2 linked regions of the Rhinolophus ferrumequinum genome follow. The protein of the gene in region 1 purifies or fractionates together with the protein of each later gene. This does not show direct contact. Links are inferred from orthologs where the notes say so. Each region holds a gene or a part of one and is shown on either strand. Other genes may lie near its edges.

What was found.
Region 2: the proteins of ADRB2 (region 1) and USP33 purify together in Homo sapiens (affinity purification with western blotting; 3 studies listed by BioGRID and IntAct, with this or other methods). This does not show direct contact. The link is inferred for Rhinolophus ferrumequinum from reciprocal best matches to the Homo sapiens genes ADRB2 and USP33.

What each region holds. Positions count from the first base shown.
Region 1 is NC_046307.1:21,401,375-21,408,695, reverse strand, and holds ADRB2 (beta-2 adrenergic receptor), read right to left. Parts: upstream 2,287-7,321; 5' UTR 2,034-2,286; coding exon 780-2,033; 3' UTR 645-779; downstream 1-644. UniProt on the Homo sapiens protein: Beta-adrenergic receptors mediate the catecholamine-induced activation of adenylate cyclase through the action of G proteins. The beta-2-adrenergic receptor binds epinephrine with an approximately 30-fold greater affinity than it does norepinephrine.
Region 2 is NC_046292.1:57,736,094-57,744,189, reverse strand, and holds the start of USP33 (ubiquitin carboxyl-terminal hydrolase 33), read left to right. Parts: upstream 1-5,067; 5' UTR 5,068-5,241; coding exon 5,242-5,280; intron 5,281-8,096. UniProt on the Homo sapiens protein: Deubiquitinating enzyme involved in various processes such as centrosome duplication, cellular migration and beta-2 adrenergic receptor/ADRB2 recycling.

The sequences.
Region 1 (7,321 bases):
CTGACTTAGGGGCCCTAGCGTTAGGAGAGATACAGGTGGGTAGCTGCAGATTCAAAGGCAAATGAAAGGGTTAAGCAATCAGAGCATGTCATTCCTGTGCCATTCCACATTAGGTCACTGCGCAGTTATTACAAATAGTTACCTGCCGTCTCCAGGGGGGGAAGCAACCACACTCCAGTCAAGGGATTTTGGAGAAACAGGTGCAATGAAGTCATGGTCAAACAATTTATTTACTGTAAACTTTAGACTTTGCTCAGGAAAACAACTGAAGCTACCCCTGAAATCCCTGCCTACAACACCCTGTTTCAGCAAATAAGAGGAGCGGGGAGAGTCCATGTTCACAGCTGCAAGGTCCACGAGAGACTCAGGGTCCTCCAGTCCAAGGGTGCAGGAAGGAAGCTGTCCTTCAGATACAAATTACCAGCAGCAATATATTACCCCTAATACTTGACCAATGAGGTAGATACACAGAAAAGTCATCAAAACACAGCAGCCCCAGGTCCTCTGGGACCGAAGCCCTTCAGACATCAACTTGCAAGTTCCATGCAAAGAGGAACCAAACTATACAAGAAACAATCACTCAAATACGTTTTCTCTTTTTTACAGCTTAGAAAAAACAAAACAAAACAAAACAAAACAAAAAAAAACAAAAAAAGGCAGAAGGATGTCCTCCTCCTGCACATCTCTATACAACTTTATTCTAAATGCATTACACTCCAATAATTAAATAGTCTGTGTAGTGTTTTGGGGGGGGGTCCTTAAAAAGTAGAAAAACTGCATTAGAGCAGTGAGTCATTTGTACTACAGTTCCTCCCTTGGGAATCAATGCTATCATTAGGCACAGTACCTGGACGGTTCACAAAGTCTGCCTTGCCTGGGGCATCCTCACACAGCAGTTTGCGGTCTTTCTCCTGTCCCAGGTGATATCCACTCGGCTCCCCTGTGTAGTCAGATCTGTCCTGGCTGTTGGAGCAGCCATTCCCATAGGCCTTCAAAGAAGACCTGCGCAGGCACAGAAGCTCCTGGAAGGCAATCCTGAAATCCGGGCTCCGGCAGTAGATGAGGGGATTGAAAGCCGAGTTGACATAGCCCACCCAGTTTAGGAGGATGTAAACTTCCTTGGGGATGAGGTTATCCTGGATCACATGCACGATGTTGACGATAAAGAAGGGCAGCCAGCACAGCGTGAAAGTGCCCATAATGATGCCCAAAGTCTTCAGGGCTTTGTGTTCCTTCAAGTAGAACTTGGAGGACCTGCGAGGTACGTGCCCGCTCCTCCCATCCTGCTCCACTTGGCTGAGGTTTTGGGCATGGAAGCGGCCCTCAGATTTGTCGATCTTCTGGAGTTGTCTTTTGGCCACCCGGAAGACCCTGGAGTAGACAAAGACCATGACAACCAAGGGCAGGTAGAAGGACACGATGGAAGAGGCAATGGCATAAGCTTGGTTCGTGAAGAAGTCACAGCAGGTCTCCTTGGCATAGCACTCCATGGCTTCTTGGTGCGTGGCCCGGTACCAGTGCATCTGGATGGGTAAGAAGGAGGTAAGACCTGACACAACCCACACCATCAAAATGACCACCCGGGCCTTGTTCTTGGTCAGCAAGCTCTGGTATTTGAAGGGTGTCGTGATGGCAAAGTAGCGATCCACTGCAATCACGCACAGGGTCTCAATGCTGGCCGTGACGCACAACACGTCAATGGAAGTCCAAAACTCACACCAGAAATTGCCAAAAGTCCACATTTTCATGAGGATATGGCTGGCCCCAAAAGGCACCACCGCCAGGCCCATGACCAGGTCCGCACAGGCCAGCGAGGTGATGAAGTAGTTGGTGACCGTCTGCAGACGCTCGAACTTGGCAATGGCTGTAATGACCAGCACGTTTCCAAACACGATGGCCAAGACGATGAGGGACATGACCATGCCCATGCCCACCACCCATGCATCATTCCGCTCCTGCGTGCCGTCTTGGTCCGGCGCATGGCTTCCGTTGGGTGCCAGCAAGAAGACGGTGCGGTTCCCGGGTTGTCCCATGGCGCGCAGGCTGGCAGGTGAGCGCACTGGCTGTTGGCTCACTGGCCGCGCCTCAGAGGGCGGACCTTCGGCAGGGCGCTGCGGGCAGCGAGGGGACGCCTGGAAGCCTCATCCAGCGGCCTGGGAGTGGGTGTGGTAGGGGCGCGTCCTGCACTCAGCTTGTGGGGTGCTCTGGGCTTCAGGTGCCCGTCAATGCCAGCCTGCTATCTGGAGAAGCCGCCTCAGAGTGCGCGCTGCCCGTTATGTGCACAGGACTTTAGAGGAACTGCCTTCCCGGTGACGTGCGGGAACTTTCCGCCAATGACACACGGGCAGCCCCAAAGGGGCGAGGCTCCCTCCCCTTCCCGCCCCTCTCCTCCCTTCTCCCGCCCCTCCTGGGGCTGGCCCGGGCGGAGCCCTCTGCTCCCGGGGCGGGCCACCTCCCCTCCCGCTCATCTGGCTGGGCCAGGAGGGCTGGAGCTGGGGCTGGCGTGCTTACCAGCCAAGCCAGGAACTTTGGGCTCTTCTGTGGCTGCTACCTGTCCGCCTTGGGCGCCTGTGTGGCCTGAGGTCTCAGGACGGAGAGCAGTACATGGGCACTTCCCCATAATCGGAAACAGAGACGAGTGCCCACGGAGACACGCATGGACAGGCACACATGCACCCCAACAGACAAGCTCAGGCTTATACCGACACTGAGACACACCCGTCCAGCGCACCCACAATCACACGCGCGCGCGCACCAAAACCTACAGGCGCAGTCCCTGAACAACACAGAGATAGGGCCAGAAACAAACAGAAGCACCCAGAGCACAAAGGTATGGGCACACGCAGAGAAAGAAGTAAACAACACACAAACGCTCACTTGGAGGCAAGCAGAGCGCCCCATCCAGGTACCCAAACCCTACACCCATGCACCCCGACCTCCACGACACTCACCCCCCGCCCCCGCGAGCGCGCGCGCGCGAACACAAGCATATTCCCTTTCAAACATTTGGCAAGACCACAGGAGGTGACTTCAACAGCTGCCGATTTCCTCAGCACGCTCGCTGTCAAAGTACTTTTGGTGCTCTCCTTGGAAATGTACAGGCATCAAGACACAATTTCACTCTTTGGGTTTCATTTGGAGCTGGGCTGTCTTGTATGTGTTTTGGATAGAAAGAGAAAGTTGTATGCTTTAATTTTTAATTTTGGGGAGTGTGGCATCACTCCCTTATTATTAGTTGAAATGAAAATGTGTTGAAAATGGAATTAATTTTCTTTTTACCCCAAGGCCTTCAGTAATCCCATTACAACTGGAAAAATTATTTCTTTCCTCTTCTAGGAAGTTTGTAGATCTGTTGGATTGAGCCACTTGAAATTGCTGCTATTCTGTGACTCTTGACTTTAAAAAATGGCAATTTCATATGACAGTTTATTAGGAATGTTAACATGAAGGACTTTTGAAGCCACGGAAAGCAAAAGATAATTGTTCCTTAAAAAAAAAAAAAAAATGTCAAACCAGGCCTTCAAACTAGGGTTTTTGTCTATGAAATACTATCCTTTGTATCTGGCATGTGACTTTACTGTTAAAAAGAAATTAACTTCCAGGGTTTGATTTCACATGTATGAGTAGTGTCTTTGAAAAACTGAAAGTATTTCATGCAGGGTAACCAACATACTTTGTAGATTACATAATAACATAACAATGGCTAACGTTTATGGAACATTCTGCCATGTGCTTTTCATGCATTATTTCATTTAATCCTTCCCACAGTCCCATGGTGGGGGGGGGTACTATTTTTAGCTTAATTCACAAATGAGGCTCAAAGAGGAATTTAGCTTGCCCAAGGGCACAGGGTGAGGCAGTGTCAGAAGCAGGAGGTGAATCCAGGTCTGCCTGAGTCAAAAACCCATTTTTTAATCCTTTCAATGTACTGTGTCATCATTCGCAGAAAAGGATGGAGTATAGGGAAAAAGGACTACAACTGGAATTGGAATACCCTAGCTTCAGATCCTCCTGCCTTAGAACTTTACAGCTCTCTTTCCTTAGGCAAATCAAAAAGATGGAGCCTAATTTCCTCCATCTCTAAATGGGTAATAAAGTCACTTCCCTTGAGCTGAGTGAGAATCAAACGATATAATAATAAATGTGAAAGTGTTTTTGCACATATAAATGTCAAGTGTGGGTTATAAATGAAATTTATATAAATTACTCAGTAGTTTAGAATATGTTGTTAGTCTGCTCTAATAGAACAATAAAATACTTTAGGACAAAAGTAACTTGGACTTTTACTCCAAAAGCAAAGCTCAGAAGCAAAAGTTAACCTATATGCCCCCTTTAACTTCCTTCACTTGCAGAAATGGCTTGCAAAGACAGATGCCTTAAAAAACAAATACTTCCCATAAAACCCACAAATATTAAGGATCTATTATGTTCACATAGTTTTCAAAATATACCCACCTCATATTTGTGTGTTCCAAAATTGGCTCTGGTATGATGCATTTTAGGAAGCGGCAGTGTCTGTTATGCAACAACGTTTCTTTAAATATACATCTACCCTGAATTGTAGAATTAAGTCATTTAAAACCTCCTTCCTGTTTGTGAAGCTATGGAATAAATAAGCATATTGTTTAACCTTCCCATAACAAAAAAAGAACAAAGAAAGTCCTTTTATGACAAACACTAATTGATCATTTAGACATACACATAAGTCACTTAAAAATTTAACATGGAATATTTTGGGAAACACCTTTTTAAAAACCCAGGAACACTAAATCAAGAGGGGAAGACGGCTTATGTCAACAAGGATGGTCCAGACCTTTGCCCACCAGCCTTGCAAAATGGACAATTTCTCTGTCTCTGTCCCTCTTTCTCCCTGTCCTGTGTTACCAAGCTGGTAGGAATTTCAACATGTTATCTTCATGCCAAGAGTCTTCTTCAGACCTCCTCTTAGAATTATAGGATTAGAGAGAGTTAGAATGGGAGAGAGTTTCAATAGATCATCTAGTTTATTCCCCCCGCTCCAGTTTGCAAATGAGGAAACTGAAATGTAGAAATAAGAAGTGTCCAGGGGAAGGTGGCAGGGAAGCCCAGGAGTCAGGTCTGCTCCTGCCGTCACATGTTTTCACTGCTCAGTGCTCTACTTTGATTTCTCAGCAGAGGAGTTTGGCTGGCACTGTTTATTGGGCTTGTGGCCTTAGAGAGTTAATGCTTCAGTTAAACTGGAAAGTTCTTAGTAGACTAAATATACCTTTATCTGATGGAAGAAAAAGCAGGCTTTTTAAAATGGTGATTGATAGTGTCTAATTACATATTTTGTCAATCCCTTAAGACATTGATTTGTCATTTCCTGCCTGCCAAACAGGAAAACACACACACACACACACACACACACACACACACACACACACACACACACTTTGATTTACCAAATGAATGTTTGAACAGGAGTGAGGCTCTGTGGTACCAGGGAATGCCCTCACACCAATAGCAGGACGGCTTAGAAAATCTTACCCTGGTCTTGGTTTAGACAACATTCATTCCATCTTCATGATCCTCTGTGCAGAGAAACATTTGTAGATTTCTTTCTAAATGATGGTCTTAAATATCGGTCTTTAATATTTATCTCTGTACGGTATCATCATGTTAAGTTTATATTAAATGAGATTAAATGCATGTAAAGCATTTAGCATGCTGCCTTAGAAGAGGGATAACTGTTACCATCATTATCTTCTTTTGAATCAAAATGTATATATCAAGTACATATTTGTCTTTTCAGATCATATTGTAAAAGGACCCTTTGAACATAGGTAATGAGTAATTTATTTTAAATTTGAATTGCTCCGAAAAAGAATGAAAAAGGGCACAAAGCTTGGTTCCTTAGGAAGAAGAACAATAATGAAAATCGGCATTAACATTGACTTATAGAGCTCGATGGGATGTTAGTGGTATTTGAATGAAGCATCTCACGTCTAGTCAGCTCCTTATACAATAGCACCCGCCAAAACTCTTAGAGAGCCACCTCTAGTGAAAGCAAGCTCACCAGCTCTTTTGTCAGGGTATATTTTTCCAACTCTTCAGATATTGAACTGAACTTTATCTTCTCATAGCGTCTACCCGTGGATCTTAAGTCTGCCCCCTTGAGGCCATTTCAAACAAGTCTCCTCTCTCTTTAACTTTGGGGCGAGTTCCTGAGATTCTTCTGAGCTCTCCTCCTCAGGTTAAATATTCCTTGTTGCCTTGGGTCTGGAGTCTCCTTCGCCATCCATGGGTTTGTCGATGTCCAACCTTAACATCAATACCTGGAATGATCCTAGAACGAGTTATCAAACAAATCAATTTGCAGTTGCCTTGGCAACCATGGAGTAAGCAGAGCAACCAGCAAAGCTTTCAGAACAGCTGATTATACCAGATGAATTTAATTTCCTGCTATGCTAGCGTTTTATGAGAGACATGCTAATAAATTTTTCCGCGTCTCAGGGGGACTGAACAAAGGGAGATGACATTAAATTAACGCAGGAGAGACTTCAGTTGGTCATATGAAAGACTCTTGTCTGAGGAGATTCAATTATTCAAAAGGACTAAACTCTAGTAGCTTTTCTCAGTTAGAGTTTTACAAGGGAATTAAACCACACAGAATAATTGTTTGAGTGACTATTCTTCCCAGTTCTCCCGAGGATGGTACATAGCTATTACCCTATAACTTCATAGAGATGAAGTGATTACATACAATGTAGTGGATGCTTTAGGGCATAGGGCTTAATTCTCTTGCTGAATCTGAGTGGGATTGCTTGGATGGAGTCTCCTTCAGATTTGGGACACATAAAACATACACAATAAAGCGTGTATATTGATGAATGTCTCTTTGTGATGGAAGCACTTTGGCGCAGAGGAGAGAGCATGGATGGAGGTTGGTAGAACTAGGTTCTGGTCCCAGAACAACTATACTGTTATACAGAGGATGCCAAAAAATGTATACACATTTCAAGAGAGGAAAATTGTATTAAAATTGTAATACTCAGTAGATACCAATAACAAAGAATGAATACAAGTCCCGTTTGACTTCTGCAATTATAAGAGGTGCTCAAAGTGGTTACCGTCAGCGTCCAGATAATTCTGATTCAGCAAACTACTGCTTGAGCAACATTGACCAAAGTGTCCACTTGTATTCTTGTTTTTGGCACCCCCAGAATATAACCTTAAAGAAGTCACCTTCTTTCTTTGAGCTTCAATCTTCATCCATGAAATGGGAGTAGGAGTTTGGGCTCAGTAACATCTAAGAGACTTCCTATTCTAAACAGCACTAGCCTATGATGGGAAGGAAGCA
Region 2 (8,096 bases), on another chromosome or scaffold:
TATGCTCAGATAGTGATCCCTGTAGAAAACCTCTAATTGTAAGCATTCTTGTCTGTTAATCTCAGTGTATTATCCTTTTTTGAATGATCTGATCTGGTAATCTGAAAAAAAATTTTTTTGAGAAGCACCAGCCTAAGCTAGAGCAGTGACTATCAACTGAGGATGATTTTGCTCCCAGTGGGACATTTACTAATATATGGAGACATTTTTGTTTGTCACCACTGGGAGGAGGTGCTACTGGTACCTAGTGGATAAAGGCTATGGATGCTGCTAAACATCCTATAAAGCACAGGAACTATACCTCACAACAAAGAATTATTTGGTCCAACACGTCTGTGGTGTCATTTTGGGAAACCCTGAGCTAGAATAAGCTAAAACCTTATCCTAAGAGTGAACAAATAAGATTTTTGGCAGAGATCCCAAAAGCCAGTGCCAAATACCTACACATCCAAATCAAAGGGGAGCAGTAGATGCTCCCCTTTCATCTCAAGCCAAGTCTGAAGGGCTTTAAGAGGACCATTTGGAAAACATGACATGTGTCTCCTGGCATCTTGGAGAGACAAGACTTGGTAACTCATTCACATTTGAAAAGTCCTAAGGCAAGAGGCTAAGGCTGCCTACAAGCAGAAGATGCACTTAGGGCTGACTGGAAACACTGCTGTGCAAGACACACATGGTTTTTGTAGACCAACTGAGGACAAAGAGAGCTGGACTTGTCATCCTGGAGCAGACTGTCCATCAGGACTGCCTGCATGGGTGATATGATCCCAACCTAGGGATGAACCCTGGAAACCAGAGCACTGAGGTATATGTCATAAGGTACACCAGCAGATACATTGCTGAGCCAAGCCACTGTAGGTGAGGATTCCCACTGATGTATTGACAAAGGCACTCTGTGAGGTAGAGGGTCAGTTGAAACCTCAGCTACTCCTAGAGGCATTGACTTCAGGCTAAAACTATTCCAGTCAAGAAAAATTCTTTCTGTCCCTGTTTTCTCCAACTGTGGAGGAGCCCAAAATGACAAGCCAGCAAGGGAGAAGGTACAAAAAGCCAGGGGTGAGGAATGGTGGGGAGGAGTGGGGTGGCAATAGCAGAGAATTTTTTAACTCCACGAGTCTGGGATTTTTGACATTGTACTAGACAGGGTTTTTAATACCAGGGTAAAAAAGCCACGTGTTTATTGCTAGAAAATGACTGATGGACTTTTTAATCACTTGAGAATGACTGGCAAAGCTAAAGGCTATGTATGAGTAAGATTTTGTCCTAGGAGTAGAGAGGGATCCTCAGAGATTTTCAGAGACCATAATGAGAAGAATAATATTGTTTTCTTCTTGTCCCTTACAAATTCCACCTTCTTCATCAAATTAGGAGCAGCAGTTTAATTGGGTTTCTGTCACTTACAACCAAAAACATTATAAAGCCTAATTTAAATCAGGGTTTCTCAACAGTGTCACTGAAGACATTTTGGACTCCCTTGATGCGTTAATGCAAAGGAATGTAACTAAATCTTTCTTCCTCCAGCCCTCCTCAGGGATATTGCCAAATATTCACCATGCGAATATTCACCACCCCTAGTTGAGAAACAACAAGTACTTGAGTTCTTTAATGCTGGACTCTGAGAATATTGTGAATAAGATAGAATTGCTAACTGCTCTCACCGACCTTACAGTTCAGACGAGATAGGCAGAAAATTAAGTACACACAAAAATCTTAAAATAATTAAAATTTGTAATACCCTCTGTGAAGGAAACAAAAATGAGAATGGGGTAAAGAATGCTTCATTAGGGACTATCTAGGTAGGGGTTAGCTAGGTGAATGAGAGAGAGGAGTTTGAGGTATCTGGTAAAAGTGTATCTGACTGAGGGAACAACAGTTGCAAAGGATTATTAGTCATTCTCAGGTACACGATCATCAAAATGTATGTTTTGTGCATTGCTACTTTTACTTGCCATTACTCATTTGCAAAAATGAGAAAGTATTTGTTTTGATATGACCATTCATATTTGTCTTCCTTCCTATCCTACCCATACTTCTTTTCTCCCCCTCCTTTTCTTCTTCTCTTCTTCCCCCTTCCCCGCCCCTGCCCCCTCTCATGCCCCATTAGGAGAGCCTGATGCACAATTCCTGGGCTTACAATTCACATCGTATTTAATACAAATGGCATCTGTAGAGTTCCATTCCAGAATTAGTGTGATTCAGCTGAGTGTCTGTCTACACCATGGAATATACAGAGGGTGCCAAAAAAATGTATACACATTTTTAAGGAAGGAAAACTGTACTAACATTATAATACTCAATATATACCAATAACAAAAGATGAATACAAGTCATGTTTGACTTCTGCAATTACAAGAGGTGCTCAAAGTGGTTACCCTCAGTGTCCAGACACTTCTGATTACGGTGAACTACTGCTTGAGCAACGCTGACCGAAGTGTCCACTTGTAGACATTTTTTTGGCACCTCCCCCCACCCCCCGCCCGTATAATCTCTCCTCTCTGAGAAGGGAGTTGATAGATCGATTTCCCAATGATAACATCCTTCCTTATAGCCTATCCACATATTATAATATTTGAAGAAAAATAAGGGATTAAGAATTCTGGATTAAGGGAAAAAGGGATAAATGCAAACATCCTAGGGTGGGTAGGGAGGGTGGGAATCCACGGAAGTTAAAAGTGGGAGATATATTGCATTGTCAGAGTGCATTTGCTTTGTGAGGATTGGTCCACAGCACGGACTTGACCTGGTGTGTACATGAGAGGCACTTGCTTGCTTTCATCTAGGCATGAGCTACACCTGTCTTGAGCAGTGGCATTATTTGTCTTCCCAGTGTCCTAGAACCTCTGAAGGAAACATAAGCCAAAAAGTACCTTGGTTACCAAGCAGATTGGTGGGGGGACTTTGAGGTTGAAGTAAATTTGCTCGAACACTTAATAACAGAACACGTTTGATATATTTTCAACGCAGGAATTTTTGAAGCAATGACTTTTGCCTTTTTGTCTATTTGATTGTGCTATTGATTTGTGGACATATATGTATATGTAAAAATTCTATCAATTATACATATTATAAATGTCTTTTCTTAATTTCTGGCTTGACTTTTCATCTCTTAATGGTCTCTTTTGATGCAAAGATGAGTTTTTATAGGTGGCACATAATTTTTGGCAGCAAAATTGCTTAATCAGTTTCAACTCCCCTTTTTCAAAATGCCTTTTTGCCCCCCTTATTCCGCCCCCCCTGCCCCCGCCCCGTTCAAGCCGTTTTTTCTCAGTCTACTTGTGTAGGACACAGCTCCCTGGCCCATGCTGGTATTATGAGCCTTGCACTCCCCTCGGCTGAGGCAGCCGGTTGTCGGCGGGCAGCTCACAGCAGCTCACGGCAGCTCTCGCTGGCTGCGCTGGCCCGCTGACCGCTCACGGCAGCATACAGCAGCGGCCAGCAGCACTCAGCAACTCATGCCAACCTCCAGCTGTTTACTGCAGCCTACCTCCACAGAGAGCTGTTGTTCACGATCTTAGCTGTAGAGGGCACAGCTCACTGGCCCATGTGAGAATTGAACCACCGATGCCGATGCCGGTGTTAGGAGAATGGCACTCCAACAAACTGAGCCACTGGCCCCTCAAAATGCTATCTTCATTGCGTAGGTTTCTTTAAAAAAACAGTTACTGCCTAACTCATTTTTGAAACTTCACTTTTCACTTTGAGGCCAGAGGTTAAATATATACAGTAAAAAAATTTCATAGTTAGCATATTGCTGAGAGCCACTTGTTTTCATAGAAAAGCCACTTGTTATCATAGAAAAATTTAAAACATTTGACTTTTTTCAAGTAAACCTATAAAACTCTTTAAATCAACCAGTACTTTGCCAAGACATCAGAGAACAAATGATTTTCATGATCATTCTCATCTCTTTACAGCGGAGTATAAAATTTTTAAAATTTAGATATTTCATTTTTTAAAATAAAAATTAACCACATTGCTAACATCCTGTGACATGAAAGCCACAATATTTTGAAATATTCTGAAAACAAAGAGAACAGTGGTAGTACCACATGCACCCTCTACATTGTGAAATTTCTATTCTTGCTCAGTGATCAGGATAGGTAACCATGTGTGGTGCAAACTGAGGTCTTGGTGTCATTCCGCACATGGAATGTTGGCAAAGGTTCATTTCTTCCATTTTTACCATAAAAATAGAATTAGAAGCTCCCATATTTTCTACTTGTTTCTTTCGTCTTCAGTTTTTAAATTGCCTTTATGGATGAGGAATTGGTCATCATAATTTTTATCAAATACAGGAGGCTTAAAAGTACCAATCAATACATGGTTTTAGTAAACAAAGGAACCTACTTGTTTCTGATGGAGATTGAGCATCTTGTACAACTCTTGGCTACATGTTCACATTTTGGAGACCAAAAAGAAGTAATTAGATTGAAACTGGCAATTTTAACAATAATTTTCATTAACTTTTTGTTTGTATATAAATCATTTGAATGAATTTTAGCAATTACATCAACTAGAAGACAGGTCTCTTCCAATGCTCTAGGCACTAAGCAGATACTAAGGTTTCAATAAATATTTGATTTGATCTTCTTGATTTTGGCCGAAGGGAAAATGGGAGAGATGAAGTTCTACTTTACAGATGTGGAAAAGGAAATACAATTACTTTCAAAGAATCTAGGTCCTAAGAAATTGGGAGAAGAAAGAGGAGAGGGAAAAAACAGCGTTGGATTGAGTTGTCTAATACTTCTTTGCACAAGGTCAGAAACCTGAGGCTCTTCCGTGGCCACCCTTAATGCAGAATCTGTAATGCATCGAGTCAAGACCTGCTGGTGGTCGTAGAGTGACAGAAGAGGGGGGAGAACACGTGTTAAAGGAAAAGTGCCCAAAGCCTAAAAGTGCTCGGCACGTACACGGTTCCTGTACCATTAACAAACTTGGAGGTGAGGGCAGGCTTGGTTCTCCTCACCTGGGCCCGGACGCCGCGGCCACGCCCCAAGGGCGGGGCGGGCTCTCCCCACAGCCCCGCCCCTCCCCGCCCTCCCTCGACTCCCGAGACGCCTGCGGCGGTCGTGGAAACACCGGAAGGAGCCGGGGCTCCTGCGGGAAGTGGCGGGTGCGGGAGGCGGGGACCCGGCGGGCTGCGGTGCTGAGCCGTCTCCTGGCCTCCGGACGCGACGCCGCCGCTCTCCGAGGCCAGGGGAAGAAAAGAGGAGCTTGTGGAGGTGCTGTCGCAGGCTACTGATGGCCGCGCTGGCGGGGCCCGTGGGGAAGGCCGTGGAGGTGAGCGCGTCGTTGCTGGGAGGGGCACGGGGCCGAAGGGCGCCTCGCTTGCCGCGAGGAGCTGGTGCCGGTTCTCGCTTCCGCGCGCTGGGTGCTGCGGCCTCTATAGCGGCCGCTTTTTCAGTACGGGACAGTGGTGGGCGCGCAGGCGAGAGGAAGGCCTCGGTTCTTCTCTGTGCTTTGCGATGCAGGGGTGGCCGCCCCAGCAGGGGTCGGCGGAGGACGCGAGTCAGTCGTAGATTTGAGGAAGGGATCCCAGGGGGCGCTCCGTTGGGAAGTGGAAGGCGAGAGGGATGAAGCGAATCCCCGAGAGGTGTTTGCTCCTTTTTTGGAGGTGTCCCTATTCCGGCTTGCCAGCCCAGTCACGGTGGTCGCAGACGACCGAAAACCCCGCAGCGCCCCGGCTTCTGAGTCCTGGTTTCGCTTTGCGGCGCAATTGGGGTGGTGGGACTTACTCGTGCAGCCTCAAGGCCCCGTTATTTATTGTTGTGAACAGGGAAACCTAGGTGTTATCGTCCCTGGAATTTTTCGTCGACCAGTGTTTGATCCATACTGTTTTAGACGTTCGTTACTCCTTACGGTCTGTCCATCTGCAGCTTTTGTTTGGATGAAATTTTCGTAAGAGTTTTGTGCCGCAGACCTTTACTGTTACATGTTTACTAACTACAGAACACTTGAATACTTACAGGATACAAATTGAGCTGTTGGATGAGATTCTTGTAGGTGTTTTGCATTCAAGTATATTTAGGGTTTTCATACTCATATAATCAGTATTAGACTGGAAAATTAGGCCAGACGGGGGGAATTCTGGCAGAAGCATAGGCTCTAAACTGAGGATGAATTTTAAACCAAGGATCTCTAGACTTCTTGTTTAGTAGATCTATAGAACTTTTTGGTTTAATCATTATTTTCCTTTAAGAAAACCTATATCCAAAATTAATGAAGTTGTCCTGGTTACATTTCTGGTTGAGACAATTGTATTATCTGGAAAGTTCTGACCAAATCAGATAATAGGCTATTGGCTTTGAACCTATACAAACAAATACTGTTGGTGAACCTGAACAATACAAATATTGTTAGTGAATTCATACTCTTATACATATTGGGGAAAAACTAGGAATCTTACTGAAAGACAATGCTAATTTTAAGAAAAAGTTATTGTAACAGTTACACTCTGCCAGGAGCATTATATCATTTTTTTTGGCAGGATTGAAAAAAAAGGGACAGTACAAAAAATATTCCAGGAATAAAATATTTGACTTCCTGCTATATGCAAGAGGGATCTTCTACTTAAGATTGCTTCTTAGTTTTGGTCTGTTTTATTGCCAATTTTTACTTTTTTGTCTTTTATGTGAGCTCTTTATAACCTATTAGTAAGTAAATAACGTAGCAGTGCAGTTTAATGATAGTATTAGTTTGTAGTGGTTTCTTTCAAATTTTGAAGTTCTGAGTTAAGGAGATTATTCTTTCATTTATACATTGCTCTTACAATTTTTATTTACCTTTCACATACACAATCTTAACTGATCCTCATGCCAATCCTCTGTGTTAGGAATGCCAAGAAGTAAAATCTTTTCCCATGACAGATGCATTTAGAGATTGTGTAAGGATCAGAATATCCTTAAAGCCTGAAATAAACTTGCTGAAGTAACCTTTGATATAAATTGGAATTCAGATAGGTATTGGAGCATTGTGAACTATATTGACTTATGACAGACTGTAGACTCTTTTCAAGAAAATGAAGTACATAAATGGTGAAAGATTTTTGGTGAGAAATGTGAAATGTAGTTATTCCTAAAAAAGAAAGGACTAAGGAACAGCTTTCTTTAGTGTAGTTTTTAAACATTTTTAAGTCTGCATGTGATTGCAGGATCATTTTGATAAATAGGATAGTTCCAGAGAGTCTAAGATGAGTACAGTGGTTTAATTGTCTTTTGAAAGGAGCATGAATTTTGTACAATGTAGTATATAAAGAGAACTAATATTTAAGAAGCAATGCATATATCAAAAAGAAATGTCCCTTTAAAAAGTTACTTTAGAAAGCTAAGTAGGTAAGTATCTGTGAGTCTACCAGGGAAAGCCCTTTGGAAAATAAAAAGAATGAAACGTGGTTTCTGCTGTCAAAGAACTTATTATAGTCAAGCTTGTAGGCAAGTATTTTTTTTAACACTACAGTACGTGCCTTATGAATATTATAATCAAGAATTTAGGTGAGAGAGACATTACTTGTGATTGCGTCTTGGTAGAGATGATATTTGAGATGAGTGAACTTTGAAAGATTTTCAACATGCAGATTTTGTAGGACATTTCTAAATGAACGGATTGTTGGGTTCCTGGAAAGTTACAAGTTATACCTGAGAAACGATTAGTAGACCACTTCGGTAATGTCATGGTTTGTGTAAGTTAGTAATAGGAGATGAAAAAGACAAATTATGAAAAACTTCATTGAAGGTGTTGATCAGAAGAGATATATGACCCACATGAATGCAGAATGAGCTGCAGGATGTTGAAGAGTGTTGATAAGTTGGGTGTAGATAACCAGTCATTTAAAAGAGAAAGTAAGGTGGAGATTAGTGTTGTCACCTCCACTAAATTGATAATGTCTGGCCAATGCTTGATTGTAAGCCTTTGTTAAATTACCTCTCTATTCCCAGGGTCTAGCACAGTCCTAAAATATGGTAGGTAATATAGTGAAAATATAGAAAAACATGGGACTGAATGTGACAAAATGAGACCATTTTCTATAGTTTTTAATGATTTATGAAATCCCAAAAGAGGAATTTCTAATATTTTTATACTAGAGGCATTATTTAGAT